Linked DNA regions of Lepisosteus oculatus. The protein of the gene in region 1 binds, or shares a complex with, the protein of each later gene. Links are inferred from orthologs where the notes say so. Each region holds a gene or a part of one and is shown in the gene's direction. Other genes may lie near its edges. The genes, in order: ednraa and edn1.

The links.
Region 2: the proteins of ednraa (region 1) and edn1 are in contact, whole or in part, in a cryo-EM structure (PDB 8HCQ), measured with the Homo sapiens proteins. The link is inferred for Lepisosteus oculatus from reciprocal best matches to the Homo sapiens genes EDNRA and EDN1. Residues at the interface, in NP_001948.1 of Homo sapiens: Tyr68, Gln72, Thr73, Lys74, Tyr129, Asp133, Ile136, Asn137, Lys140, Leu141, Gly144, Arg145, Trp146, Gln165, Lys166, Val169, Glu220, Phe224, Val227, Phe229, Tyr231, His236, Lys237, Thr238, Cys239, Met240, Leu241, Asn242, Gln252, Lys255; in NP_001403492.1 of Homo sapiens: Cys53, Ser54, Leu58, Asp60, Lys61, Glu62, Cys63, Val64, Tyr65, Phe66, Cys67, His68, Leu69, Asp70, Ile71, Ile72, Trp73.

The regions. Positions count from the first base shown.
Region 1 is NC_090696.1:26,606,501-26,614,396, reverse strand, and holds the start of ednraa (endothelin receptor type Aa), read left to right. Parts: upstream 1-4,697; 5' UTR 4,698-4,833; intron 4,834-7,896. UniProt on the Homo sapiens protein: Receptor for endothelin-1. Mediates its action by association with G proteins that activate a phosphatidylinositol-calcium second messenger system. The rank order of binding affinities for ET-A is: ET1 > ET2 >> ET3.
Region 2 is NC_090705.1:17,403,912-17,411,815, reverse strand, and holds the start of edn1 (endothelin-1), read left to right. Parts: upstream 1-4,764; 5' UTR 4,765-5,187; coding exon 5,188-5,248; intron 5,249-5,819; coding exon 5,820-5,967; intron 5,968-6,378; coding exon 6,379-6,534; intron 6,535-7,136; coding exon 7,137-7,244; intron 7,245-7,904. Other genes in the region: uncharacterized protein, read left to right, coding at 1,456-1,569, 2,465-2,671. UniProt on the Homo sapiens protein: Endothelins are endothelium-derived vasoconstrictor peptides. Probable ligand for G-protein coupled receptors EDNRA and EDNRB which activates PTK2B, BCAR1, BCAR3 and, GTPases RAP1 and RHOA cascade in glomerular mesangial cells.

The DNA.
Region 1 (7,896 bases):
CCTGTTAATTTGAACAAATCAATCACTGTAACTAAAAAGCAGATAATTTCAAAGCTGGAAGAAGGAAAATCTTATCAAAATGTATAATATTTTTTGGGTTAGAAAGACCAGTACTCTGGTAGATTTATCTAAACCATGCAGCTTCGTGACTGACTTTGGTTTACAAACTAATTTGATGTTCAGAAAAAAATAAGTAATTTAAGTATAAAGTAAATATGTATGTATACATTCTGTATATAGCATATACCTTTAAACCCTGTGGCATGAAAGATGACTAATGTATTAGAATATAAATATGTGTATATATAAAATATGTGCAAATATGTGTCTAAAGAGAGAAAAACAATTGTTATATATAATATTTATATATTATAGAAAAAACAAAGCATTGAGCAAATGTTAAAATCTATCATAAAAATGCCCTAGTACAATTCAATATGTACTAGGTATGAAAGAAAACAAAAATGATAAATACTGGAACCAGTAGCATTTGTTGTGTTCTTAATGGATCTCAGTATTTTAAACCTAGAACATACAAACAATGACATGGAAGACTGAACATTCCTCCTACAGCAAAAACAGATGTGGTGGAAGTTTCCCTTAATTAGAAGATCAAACAAGTGAAAGGGACATTAACAACAGCTTTATAAAGGCAAGGTACACAGTGTTGGGTGGCTACAATCTTGAGTTTCAAAAAAGAGATATACAGCAACCTTCGTAACAAATCATTATGAATCTTAATGAGATTAAATCATGGCTTGCCTCAGGGGATGCTTTTATAGGGGATAAAAGCAAACATATTTCTTCTAAGGGTTTGGAAACCAGGCAGACTATTCCTACAGGTCAAAGGGTTGTTGTTTTTGTTGGATGTAATTCATGTGACTGTGTGTCTTCACTGGGAATCAGCCTTAGAAAAACAGTGCTGTGATGTAGGCACTGGAGGATGGGTACATAGGAATCTGTCTGGAGTTTGCTCTGAGCTGCAACGAGGATGTGTGGAGACAACCCTAGGTGGTCTCCTAGTTGAACAGAAGTGCTTTACCCACACAAGTCAAGGGCATGCTTCTACATCCCATGTGCTTCACTGAAGCCCCAAGAAGAGACTATATCTTTATTAGAAAGATTGTAATCTTGGAAGGGTCCTTCATGGTAAAGTTGTAAACCTGGGACGTCATATGCTACAGTATACTGTTTACCGCAATAAAGAAAATGAAATACTTTATTTTATATTTTATTTTAATACTTTATGAAATACGCAATCAGAAAAGTACTTGCCGATTCCCTTTTGCACTTAGGGATCGAGTGTACGTGCACCCTGTGATGGACAGGGCTCTCCAGATGTGCTTTAGGTACCTGGATAGGCTCCACGTTGCTACAACCCCCACCATAAATAACCAACTTTCTGATAATGGATGGATGGATTTGCAACTGGGTTATTGTACTTTTGGCAAGTGAGTATTAAGATGAAAATCCTGCATTTGATTGTGTAACAGCTGTTCCAATGCACGCTACTAGTACATTTACAAGTTAGGCAGTTAGGAAGTTGATTGTAGGCAGTGTTCAATTTTGTTCTGAAGACCATTCTTAATATTCTAAATTACTATTTCATACATTTTTAATATGTACACTTCATTCTGTAACATTAAGTCACATAATATATGAATTTCTACTGCTGAAATGACTGAACTTAAAGACCTTCTTCCTGATAATCCCCCTGATAATATTATGTTACAATTTCCCATGTAGCCACACAATTGACTCAGTGAAAGACAAACCTGATGGAGTTTCTTTGAACAATACACAGAGGAAAAATGTTCCCTTTTTTTAGCAAAAAAAAATTCTCTAAGCCACATGAGAGTAGCAGTTCATGTAGACAGATGAGGAATATTGGAAAGATGTTTCTGTCATTTACACTTCCCCATTAGTTTTTAAAACTTTATGAAAAATCATCCATTACTGAGAGATGATGAATACTTTTGAATGCAGAAAACTTCCAAAACAGCTGTCCAGGAGGGCTATCTTTTTCAACTAGAAGATAAGAAATATTAAAAGCACATTTTGTTTATTTTTCAAGGTCTGTGTTTAAACAAAGTGCCGTAGAGTATGGTCTAGACTTATTTTTATGTAACAATGCAAACACATAGAAAAATGAAAGCTCGGGTATAAAAAAACACTAGGTGCAATATTTTGAGAAAAATATTTTATGCTATTTAGTAATGTCACATCCTGTTCAAGCTAAATGGCTTAGCATTAAGACATTAATTTTGAAAGCTTCAAAATGAAAGCTAGATAGAAAATATTCCATTCATTTTCTAGCTGCTTCATCCTATCCGTGGTCGCAGGGGACTCGGAGCCTATCCTGCCAAGCAGAGGGCAGTAGGCGGGTTACACCCTGCTTGGGACGCTGTGGGCAGACACACAGACTCAATCATACCCACACCAGGGCCAGTTTTTCCAGAAGCCAATTAGCATGCTGTCACTCATTTATCCAGCTGTTTACATTTTTGTAGTTTACCTTGAGTTGTTGTGATAACCTTTTTCAATGTGTAAATGTAGTAGGATTTTTTTCAAATAAAAAGGAAACAGTTAAATAGTATGGAGTAAACTGTAGAAAAGGTTAATTTTTTTTTCAAATTTCAAAACCTATTTCTGCAAAAAAATAATGTTACTGTTCGCTTAAATGTGTAAAATGGGTTTATAAACTCCTTCCCTGGTGTATCCTTTTATGTTAACAATCTTTTTCACTGCAGGATGATTCATAAACCATTAAGGAAATGAAATGCAGAAATTCGTTGTTTCATTAGAATCAGAAATAATTCATTTAGCACCAGAGTACATGGAAACCCTAAACTATGATTTTCCACTCAGTTTTTCTAACAATCTTTCCCATTTTTATTTTTCCCCACTGTCCTTCCTGTGACATTAAAACCTGGAAAACTAGACCTAAGATGGGCAACGCAGGCAACTTTAGCTACTTCAATCACAATCATTTAGCTACAATCAATCATATTAATTATGTCACAGTCTCCTCCTTGAAGAGTTTAGAGGCTTAGATAGAATGTAACAATAACGATGGCACAGCCCCAATTGCAAAAACGTTTATGAGGAGGAACTGTGTACCCAAAGTCCACACCCAAAAAACAAAGTGAAAAACACAAACTAACCAGGAAAAAAAACAACACAAAGCTAATAGTATAATAATAAAACAACAACAATAATAACAATAATAATAATCGCTGTACAAATAGATTGTTGTAAGCAGCTCCTATACCAACCCACTACAAAATCTTCTCCTATCACTCCCCCTCCCCCAGGAAGAGCACCTTTTCTAGGTTAAACTCCTCCCCCTAGAATATTCCACTATAAAGCAAAAATAATTTTACAAAATAATACTCAGAATTCTGATATACACATTTCTTCATTAAATATACAACTAAAGAATGAACATGTTATTAACAAAACTATAATATCATACTCCTTTTATGTCCATAAATATTGTTTAAGAAAACACTACTCCCTCTTAATGGTATCTTCTTACAAATCAATCAACCCAAGCCCAAGCCTGAAACAGGCACTACTAAGCCAGCCGTTGTTGCCATGGCAAGAATTGGGTCCTAAAGGTTGTGGGAGAAACCATTTTCCCGGTGAGAAATCCAAACAACTTATTTATTTGAAACCCGTGAGTTGATCGCCAATTTGGTTCATTTCACTTCTAAAACAAAGGAAAACAGGTGTTTGGGTTAATGTTTAATTTTGATAATACGGGAAAAACCTTACTTTCCTCTGTGTGTGCACTCACAGAGCAAGCAAAGCTATCCCCCGAATTCCAGACTAGTCTGTTTACGTTGGAAACCAGCGTTATCGCCTTTGTTTAGATAGTGAAGTGTTTGCGTATGTGTGTGTATGTGTTCATCTGGATACCTCAGGAGTGTCAGGTGATCTGGAAACGGAGTCTCCAGTCACAAATTATGAACACTTTAGACAGGGGGCAACCATAGATTCTTTAACCCCCAAAACCTTTTTTTTTCCAATTGGGAAATTGTGTTTATCCTTTGCCCATGCCCATTGTTGCTAGATTTTAAAAATGTTATGAAACTCTGTAAAGTGCGAAATTGTTGCAAAGAGCACTATAGTAAACAAAAGATTGAGACTGATGGAAAAAACAACAACAGACTGCCCCCATCAGTCATTTCTTAGTAACAGTAATCTTGGTGGTGTTCTAACCCACTGTCCATCCTCCATCTCTGATGAAAAGCAAACTCCATGCCACATCTAGTATGTGTTAACAGACTTGTCTCGAGAAGCAATAAATGGGGTTATAACCAAAATGCATTAAAAAACTCATACAGTGAATTCCAAATCCTTTTATATCTTTTGATTTTCACTCGTATTGGCTATGTTTAAAAACATTAACTGTCAATGAACTGTATATAAAAAGGCCAACCTTAGAATATCTTCCATCTCCTCTTAAAATTGGTTCCCATGGATATACAACATGTAAATTATTGGTCATTATTAAGCAAACACAGTCTTAAAAAAATGGAGACCAAAGGTTTCACACTATGTGCACTAATGTATAATAAACAGTCCCCCTGCTTCAGAAAGCCCCCTCCGAAAATGCTGTTTCATATGTACGCACTATGGCAAAAGGAGCTGGCCCGTGAGTCAGTGTACTGCATGTCTGGCCTCTTCCTGTGTATTTTCCCAAGCTGTGGCCTTCTGGTTCTCTTTGGATCACTCACTGAGTCACGTAGCAGCTAAGAGACAAACCACCTCCCATCATTTATCATGTGTGACAGCCTCTATCCAGAGACAGACGTAGAGTACTCTGTGGTAAGTGACCCTTCATTCAGAAGCAACTTTATTTTCTTTCATTACAATTTAATATTATAACCTTGCTTGGTGAGATTCTGCAAAGTAGCTTTCTTGCTTATTTAAGTATCTAATTGTTTTATTTTAAATGTAACTGTCTATTTTAAAACTTCTCTTTTAAAAGAATTGTGCTTTTAAGCAGTTTTTTTTTCTGAAACAGGAAACCTTAAAAATTAATCACAGGAAAGCCAAACTGCAATTTACCAACACAAGTGCCCCTATTTAAAGCATCACTTTGTACCATATTTTGTATTTAAATTTATAAAAAAAACAGTGCAGGAATAAAACACTGTTTTATGCCTACATTGTATAAGAATACAAAAGAATGTTTGAAATTAATTATGGTTCTTCTGAAACACGTTATGCAACTAAAATTTACAACAGGTTACACCAAGAATTCATACAATTACTCCATTCTCCTTTTACACCACTTCCCTTATATTCTTTATATGTTCAAGTGGATTGAACATATTTAAGTGCACTGCATCCTCTTGAGTTTTTCTGGCTTATACTCTAACAGACTTGTTGTATTTTGCTCTTTTTGGATGATTTCATTTCATAGTGTTAAAAAAAAGTGCATCAAAGTTTCAACAAAGTAATTTCACTGGTTGGAATTTTTTGTTTAAAAAAAATCTTTCTTACAACACAGTACAGCACCCGATAAAGGGGTTCCATAGATGTAACTTAAATTTGTTCTAATACCATTTTTTCTTCAACCCTAATCTCATCTCCCCGAAATATATTTAATGGCATTTGTTTTTACTGCTGTTCTTTTCCAAATTCTGAAGGCTACAAGAACTAACTGATACCAGTCTGATACTGAAATGTGTTTCCAGCTTTCATTCCTGCTAATAGGCATACAATTTTCATACACAACTTTAATGTCCTCAGGGAGAATATAATGTAAACTGTAGAAGTTTGGTTTGTTATTTTGAATATTTTTTCAGGTTCACTTACAGCTTATTGCTGGGTAGCTACTGGTTACACGATAAAGACTTCCTATCTTGGTTTACATTGGTATCAGTGTAGATCAAATGAACACAGAATTTGAATTTAAGTTTAATGGAAGAATGCCTGAATACTAAAGGCTGTGCTTCTTGGTAGTTAGGTTTGTAATGAACAGCTGCCCCTTTAAGTTTTATTAATTCCTGAATTTGTTATTCGCACTTGGACTTGAGCAAGTTGGCTTGCATTTGGACTAAGACAGTGGAAAAATAAAAGTATTTCTAAGTCTGACTGAGGAGAAATAAACAAGGCTTAAAATGTAATATCAAACATAAGCCAATTTAACTGGACATTTTCTTACTTGTTCTTGTTCTTACCATTGGAGAGATTCATTTGAATTCACCATGAGACTTTAGAAATTAAAAACAAAATTAACAGAGTACTAGGAATCAAACAAAACAATTAGCAGTGTAATTCCTCTTAAAAGGGAACTGTAGTCCCAATTTCTCAGACTGCTGCATTAAATCATGGTAACAAAATTAATTGATTGATGACATAAATAAATTTGACCAATTTTGAATGACGCGCACAATTTAACTGTGATGAAGTAACAGAACTGCTTAGGGCAGGTAATCAACAATGAAACTGGACTTTCAATTCAATTGCCTACTGCTTATTCCAGATTTCTGTCTTATACAAGACCCTTGATCCAAAACTCAGTTAACAAAATTTGATATTATGATTTTCTGTATAAATTATAATTATTAAATGGCTTTTAGCCAATTGCTAAAGACATGAAAAAAGACATGTTTGCATGATTAGCATATCCCAAACAGAAATATTGTTAAATCCATATGTAATTCTTTTAGCTCCCACTGAGAATATGTGCTGACATTTAACATGGCTGCTAAATTAATTGTACTATTAACATACCTCATGCAATAAAACTGCATTGTTTCAAAAGCATCACACTTAACTATGTTTTCAGGGCATGAAGAGTGACAAGCACCGCCTGAATAAAGCCCCTAGCAGGACATGAACACATGCAAATTCATGAAGGAATACAAGTATTAGAAGTTTTGATTGTAGTAAATTTATAACACAAACAAAACACTGGCTGTGCAAAAATAAAATAAAACAACTACCACCATGAAGCACTTTAAATATAGTAGCAACATAACTAATCACAGACATTTGAGAATCTGTCTATTAAACCTTCACCAATTACAGTATCTAATTAACTAATTAATCCACACTGTGGCTATTTACAAATATTAATCTAAATTAGTCTCTAGTGGCAGGTTGACTGTAATATCAATCTATCCCAGAGGGGTGTTTTAAGTTTGAATTTTTCCATATTGTGAAATTTATCACAGATAAATTGTTCCTTTATCAGAAGGAGGCTTATACCTGGTAATGGTCATGAAAACCCATAGGGCACAACCCAAAAAGGAGCACCTATCCATCGCAGGACACACACTTAAGCACACAGGGATAATTTAGAGACATCAATTAACCTGTAAACAAATTCAGGGTATACAAGGTAAACTTTATTTACAGTAAACAAAATTTTGATGGCTGGCTTTAAAAAAAGAAAATGGAAGAACTCATGTTCCCCTTTAAAAGATCTCAAATGTGTGCACTTTTTTCATTTGCAATTTTTCCTGAATCAATGTTCAGCTGCTGTCGCTACACCCTCATTTCAGGACCTCAGTACAAAAAATCTAATGTTTCAGTGTAATATTAAGGATGATAATGGGACCATAATGATTTAAATATAGTAAACTAATTAAATGCATCATGTATTTCCATTTTTTATCTCTGACTGCAGCTCCATTATATGCTATTCTTAACTAAAACTGATGAAGGTAAGAGATGACTTTGCTGCTGAATTTCTTTCATTCATATGCTCTCAGGCCAATAACAAACAGTTACAAATTGAAAAGGAACACATGATTGTGGCAATTACAGATCCTGTCTGTTCGTTTCCTCGACAATGCTAATTTACGTTCTCTTTAATCCATTAATAATGCTTCATTAATCACTTTTTCTTCAACATCTCTAGAGTTTCTTCAGTTC
Region 2 (7,904 bases), on another chromosome or scaffold:
TTCCCCACTATTCTCTTATCTTTCTGTTTACAAGTGAGATTTGTCTTTCAAACGTCATTATGGAACGTGCAATCTGACCATCATTCCATTATGGGGGAATCAGTTTTCAGGACATTGGGCATTTCCCATTACAGGAAAGTTAAAATATCTGGAAGGCTTAACTACTGATATGTTAGGCTCCTGTGAGCTTCAGGGACAGCTGTAAAAGCACATGCATATGTCCTACAAGGTTTTGAAATATTTGCAGCCCATCCCACCTTTATAGAAGAATGACCTTCAGATGATGATGTAAGGACTTGAACTTCAATTGATTTTACTAGTTCTCAACTGGATTGAGATCTTGAGCTGGTTCTGGTAAGGGAAGGTGATGGAAGTCTTTCTTATGTCCCTCAAGTCATACATTGCCTGTCACTCAGAGAGCCTATTCGTCTGACCTGTCATTCCTTGGATTTTGGCCAGATGTGGTATTAGTGAATCAGAATTCCCTCTTGTCCTGTTTCAGCTCCTTTTGGAATTGTTGTATGTTGCTTAATATTAGTTTGATTATTTCTCTGTTATTTTAATGGGACTAGAAGGCCTAGACAGATTTAAGGTAAGCTTTCCAAATTGCTGCGCATTTCAAGCACAAAAACATAAGATGTCTGAAGTCCCAGTGCACTACAAAATCAAGAGGAAAGCTTAATCCTAAGATCACAAGTGGAAACTACATGAATGTGAATTTAAAACTGAGAACGGGAAGCACTTCTTAACAAAAAAGGGTTGTGGGAGTCTGGAACAAGCTATTCAGATGTGCTGCTGCAGCTAATACCCTGGCTTCTATCAAGAAATGGCTGGATGGATCCATACATCTTTAAGCTACAGTCAAAATAGCTAGTCTGTGACCATTTTAATGATTTTTAGATTTGTATGTATTATGTATTGCCATACAGAGCTTGAGGTGAAAAGTATTATCTGAATGGGATCTAATACTGACAATATTTGTGTTAGGAATCCCTGGTGAGAAGATACACGGATCCTGTGCAGACGCAGGCACGGGTGATAGATGAGGCAGGCGAACAAACCAGAACGAGAGGCAAGGTCGTAGTCAAAAGGCGAAAGGCAAGTCGTAATCCAGGAAGTTCACCGGTAGCAGACAGTCCGAGTCGAGAGGCGAGGAGCAAAGTCGAAAAGGCAGAAGGGGAATCCAAAAACCGGAATAAACGAGGTACGGGGAAAAACGCCAGGTAGAGCTCTCAAGGAGTAGACTCAATACCGAGCAGTGGGAAGCAGGTGCAGATGGTTTAAATAACAGTGCGCACCGCAATGAGTGTGCGCAGGTGGTTTAACTCGTGCGGCGGCGTTTGTTGATAATCACCCGCTGCTGGGTCTGATTAGCTCGCTTACGCTTTGTCTTTGACTGCCTGGTTGTCGTGACAATTTGGTTTGGGGTTAATTCCCAATATTATCGCATTGTAGGAAGAATGGCTTTCTTTGCTGGGAAGGAAGTGTGTGCCCATGCTGCAGTGTCTAAGTGGTCAGGATATTACTACGGGACTACAGGAGCTAAGAGAAGGGTGCCTCAAATACTCTGTAAGTTAAAAAAAAATAATTCAGCAAACAATTCCATGTTCTTGAGCGTCAAATCACTTAAACGGTAAACTTTCCTTGTATATATCTATCAGCAGTTTTTTTTTTTCACTACTATCCATAGTGCAGCATAAACAAATTTTGATTCAGGACGATTTAAAAGAGTAAATACTGAAAACCTGCCCACAATTTGTCAGAAACTAATATATTTATGTTACAAAAGATGTCCAGCTGTTGCACCTAATGATGAAGCTGTACTGTAGGTGCGATGCTGTGCAAGTCTGGATTTTGGTAAATTTAGTGTTTTGCCTACTTTTCTGTACAATTTGGTTTTGAGTTCTTTTCTGTATGTAGTCTTGGGAAAATTTACCCAATATGTAAATTGCAATCAGCAGGTGGGAGGAAATTACGATTTCGTCCAGGCATATTTCATTCTAACGTTTATGTCGCATTGAAAAATCATCAAAACGAGCTATTCTGCTTGAAACCGAATGTACAGAACATGTATAGAACATGATAATCGAATGGACAGTTTCTAACCGAGTCCTGGCTGTAGAAACTTGAGCACACGTCAGGGTGGGTGAAATTCAGTACGAATCCAGATTGCTATGAATTTAAAGTTGATGGTACGGAACTTTTACCTCCAGAGGTGTAAGACACACTTAATTTTGCCTAAAAAACACCCATGGATATCTGTGCAGTAGACGCATACTGTATATGAACATTATGTTGGTCCTTAATGTCCAATAACAGTGTAAAAACAGACACCAAAGAAACAATTTTGCGGATTTTTAAATTCATTCGCGTACACTTGATTTTAGAGATGCTGCTAAAAGTGAAACTTAATAATAATAAGTGAAACTTATCAAAAACATTTTGGTCGTTTTGTGCTCTGAAGGAGGACACTCTGTGCTTTGAGGACACACTGCTGTTCATCGTCGCTCACAAAGGGCAAGCGAGCCGCGCTGTGGGTCCCGGAATCCAGCGCTCCGGTCGGACTCACCTGCTTGCTCACGGGCCTGAGGATGTGACGTATAGATTACCGCTGGCTGAAGACATGGTCAAATACCTGAGGTCACCCCTCCAAGCACATCTATCATCTTAAAGGTCCGTTTAATATGTAAACAAATTACTTTTACTATTTTACTTCATCAATAAAATAATAAAAACACGTACCCCTTTTTGTGGTTCTGTGGCATTACAGGGCTTCTTTGACAGTGAATGTAATTGAAAAGGGCAAAGGTTAAATATTATATGTTTCTACCACATTTCACGAATTGAAAGAAACTATTGCTGCACAGACAATATAATTTATAAATCGATGGCTGATTGAATTACTCATATTTTTCGACGCATTCTGCGATATGTATTACTTATAGAAACCAGACAGTCTGGATACTAATAAAACAGCAATTAACTGCAGTGCTTTCTGACTGAAGTGAATGGGTATTGACCTTTGTTTGACAGCCTGTTGGGTTAAAGTGTTTAGACAAATGAATTCACTGTAGTCACAGTAGTCTTTTATAATGATTAGCTCATTCTGTCTGCTTTCCTTAACCTTTTTATTCCGCAGCAAAGGAAACTATACTTTTGTATGATCCTGTCCAAGAACACCTGGTGTTGTAAATGTTGCATAAGTGATAACACCCGTTCAGTCTCTGTTTCACTCTAATAAAAATGAAATTGCTTCAAACTTGCCATGTCTAAATTAACCAAGGTCCAGCAGTGCACTGAACAATACACATCGTAGTCATTCGTTCAGATCTTTCCTGCTTCTGGTATAATGCAAATAATTGTTTCCCTTTTTTGTGGTCGAAGGATATAATTCATTTGTTGCATAGTTCTAATTTAGATCTTTCAGTTAATGGTAAATAAATCCTTGGTCCTTTTGCGATGATATTGTAAAGACGCAGAAAATATGGTTAATAAATATGGTTACGAAAACATTCACCTCACATATTAAATCATCAAAACATTTTTTTTTAAATGTAACAGTTCGGAATGCATGGATTTCTTAATTGATATTAAATATTCAGTGAGATTCCGATTCTCAGTGCGGCAGTGCCACCCTGAGTCGGGCCTTCCATTAGCCAGTATAATGTGGATTATGACGCCTCCTTGTGGTGATAAAGTGCAATGAATAACTGTACGTATAGGTGTTAGGTAAAAGATTTGTTTTTAAAGGGGAATAGTAAATATCAAGAGCGGTAAAGCTTTTCATCGACGGACTATCATTATGCTTCATTTATTGCTAAAGACTGAAATGTCATTATTGATTTATTTATAATACTGTCGCCGATTATTCCGTCGAAAATTCAGTGGCACAGAGAGCGAATGGGATCATTTTTAGTTATTGATACAGTAATCAGAAACGGTACAAAATTTAAATGAAAAGGCGAAAATGTACCCCTTTTACACCCCATAGCTTTCTTTTAATATTGGAAAGTAACGTTTGGGTAGAAGGGATTAGTTTGTAACGTTTACATGTTAGGTTTTCTACAAACGTTGTATTTCACTACACAGTGTATTTTTACATATATAACGACACTTCAAACATAACATGATGTGTTTTGAAAAAATAAACTCATAATGAATTATATATTGGTAAGCAAAACAGATTCTTCTTTTGATACAATTATTAAACTATTTTTCGTTAGCTAAAAAAACCTACAGGGAATTCGATGATGCTGTCAAGTCTTTTCAGAGCACAAAATCTCTGATGAATACTGACAAATACTCCTCAGTCGAATGAGAACAGTCAGGACCACAGCATATTTTCTGTTTTGTATCATGAGTAGAAATCGTGTAGAAAGATTCGAAACTTCTGTTGTAAACTTCTGTCACGAGTCAAAACATTTTGAACAATTGTCTTGTTGCGCGTCAAGTCCGTCTACCTATACAGGAGTTAAGAACCTTCCATCAAACACGTCTTCGTTTTATCGCCTAAGCCCGTTTAACAAGACTATATCGTAACTCTGAATTCAATTATACGGACGAGTGCCCACGTATTATTTATAAAATACAGGTAACTTAAAGGCATTAAATAAAAAAACAGCTTTGAATATTATACAGTGATTTCCCTACAGCTGTTTGTGCTCGTCGGACATGATCATCAAGGTCATTTACAAGCTTCGGCAGACCAAAACTACCGAAACAAATGGTAGCTGATGTTTCAGTTGCACGCCCTCTGCTGTTAAGCATGTGCAAGCGCAGCACCGAAATCTTGGCAAGAGCTTCGCCTCAAACTGCCGCTCGGCGTCTCCATCCCTCTGAAGTCCTCGAAATACTTTTTTTCTTATCTCAGCCTGCACGTTGCTTGTTGGTGACTAATAACAAATAGCATTGTCTCTTAATGAGACGCAAGACAAAGCTGTTTACACACGTCTGAAGGAGGAGGAAAGCAGCGGCGCGGGGGGTGTATATATACACATGTATAAAAAGGAGAAGCGCTCTTAAAAGCAGAATTATTCTCTCAAGACTCCGACTGGAATACACTCGCGCTTTTGAAAGATTGATCTTGCTGTGCAGAAGCATCTTTAATTCCATCTTGCTGGTATTCGACATTCAATTATTGCAAGGAATACTTATTCGGAGGAAAGTTATTCTATATAAATATTAAAAATGGAATTACACATACTTTTCTCAATGATGTCTTTATTATATTCTGGACTTCTTCAGACAGGTAAGTTGAACGCTTAGGTGTTTATGCCTTTTTTCACAACTGTCAGGTCTATAGCTATACAGTATATAGGCGCTGTTTCTTAAACACCATTAATCTTGGACTTTAATCTTTATAGAAAATAAAGATTGCAAACATGCGATTTGTGATCAGAAATTAAATGAGATGAATTGCATTTTTTTTTACTTCATGTATTCAAATTAAAGTACCGTAACAAACAAAAGTGCATATAACAGATATAGAGTATATACCGTTCGAAATGCTTTTTGGGGAGGACCACAATGACAACTGACAGTCTCATTTTCATTCGTGTATTGGGCACACTTTGTTTAAAACTGCAATGCGACGATACAATACGTTTTGACACAAAAATGGCCATTATTCGACAACTGGACAAAATTCCATACTGGGACACAAATGCGCAATTAACCAAATCGCAAGTAATTTTTATGAGGAAAAGCAAATGTCCCAGTACCCCCAACAACAACGTATTTTGTTCGTCTACGGTCAGTACTTATTTATGTGTAACCCGTATATGTATAAATATAACCTTTTATTGTTGTTGTCTTTGCAGTGTCCATGTCTTTAAGCCAAGAAACATCCTCAGTCTCGAGCGCACCTTGGCGGCACATCAGAACGAAAAGGTGCTCATGTTCCACATTTCTGGACAAGGAATGCGTCTACTTCTGTCACCTTGACATTATTTGGATCAACACACCAGAGTAAGAACCTGCCTAAATAATCTCTCTCTACTTATATATTATATAAATAACTGCAGAGGTATTTCGATCTTATATGAAAGCAGGTGGAAGTGAAGTTAAGCATTCTGTGAAAGGAGAATAACGAGTAGGATCGAATATTTAATCCATCATTTTGACTTGCTTTTTTGATTTCCTAACGTTGGATAGTGAAACTTAAGAAAACGATTACTAAACAAGCAAGCGCTTTATACAGTATAGGCTACTGTAACAACCTATCATAGGACATTTTGCTTCTTGTGTTTCTTGCGCTACGAACCAACCCACAGCACATCAGGGGAAAATAAGTTGCTACAGTTCATGCCATGGTCACATGGAATCTGCATTCCAGAACCTTACTGCCAGAAACCTAATGTAACTCCTTCGTCTTTGCAGACGCACTGTTTCCTACGGGCTAGGAAGCGCTCCGAGAGTGAAGCGCGCTCTCAGGTCTTTTCCGAACGGACTGACGCATGGAGACTCAAGGTGCACATGTGCCAGTAAAGAAGACAAAACGTGCGCGACGTTCTGTCAATCGGAAAATCTACAGAGGCAAGTGACATTTCTGTTATTCGAACTGGGGGGTATTCATGCTTAAATAAAGATTGCACGTCTGATTTCAGTTTTCACTGATAGTGTTATTTTGCGAACGACAGGAGAATATTGTTTTTTCTCGTATTAATCGTGACTCTGTACTGTTCAGCTGGGTTCACCATCAACAGCTTTTAAACAACCTAAAAGCAAAGTGATTTGCCAGAAAACAGAAGTTGTTTCTCTGGTAGACGTGCTCTCCTTTTCCAGCCTTTAAATTAAAGCTAAGAAAAGCTGTCCCCCTCGAAAATTAAAGTTCCAATTTTAATCCTTTTTGAACGTGTTCAAAAACGTTAGAAGAAATTAGAACAAACGTTACAAATCTACTTCAATCTATACAGTATGTGTAATTCTTAGATTTTCTATATATTCAATATATGGATTTTAAAGCATCAATCATTGTGTTTTACGTATTGAATGAGATTTAATTGTATGAGAGGAGTTACTAAGGTGCTACTTGAATTGCTACTACAATTCAAAGAACATCAATACAACCAACACTGGGAACACTGTGAGGTTTTTGTGGATTTCTCGTCTCACATTACACAAACTTTCATCTCTAGATTGCAAAGCACAGACGTGAAACTACAGGCTGTCTCTGCAGAAGCCCAGGACTGCACAGGGTGGCAGTGCTTATACAATCTGGCAGCAAACAAGAGAAAAATTACAAGGTAAGAAATAGAAGAGATTACAACCTCTCGAATCGACACGTGTCCAAGAAAGGCATACTGTAGCATAATCATAACTTCAAAAGGGTAAGATGTCTCCTAAGATGCACCGTAAATGTGACAGCACATAACATTCTGAAATAGGTATACAGTATATAGAATATATGCATTGAGAATCACTTTTTTGTGTCATTGACAAGAACAATGAGACAACAGAATGTGTTTTTTGATCTCTTTCAAGAGACGAATAGATTCCGATATGTACAGTACTCTTTAATTTTCATCCCACATTTTTTAACTAATTGAGTTTCAAGTAGATTCTAAGTGTGCAAGTGAATTGGGAAGAGGTCAATGCAAGTTTGAAACAGCTATTTAGTAAATCATGGTTTGGAGATGGATGTAGAGTCTCATGGTTTAAGTCTTAATGTGGATAGTATCTTAAATAGTTAATGCCTTTTTAAAAAATATTTCTTGTTTGTTGAAGGATTGACTAAAGGTTTCTTTAACATATTTATGCTCTACTTTCATCTGACCCAAACATAAAAAAGCTTTAATATTTTTTCTTTTGTCTGCTTCGGTCAGAGTGGTTGATGCTTTATTTAACTGCTTTATTGATCCTTTATTTATTCTAATATGCATTAACTCTAAAATCTTCAAAGTCTT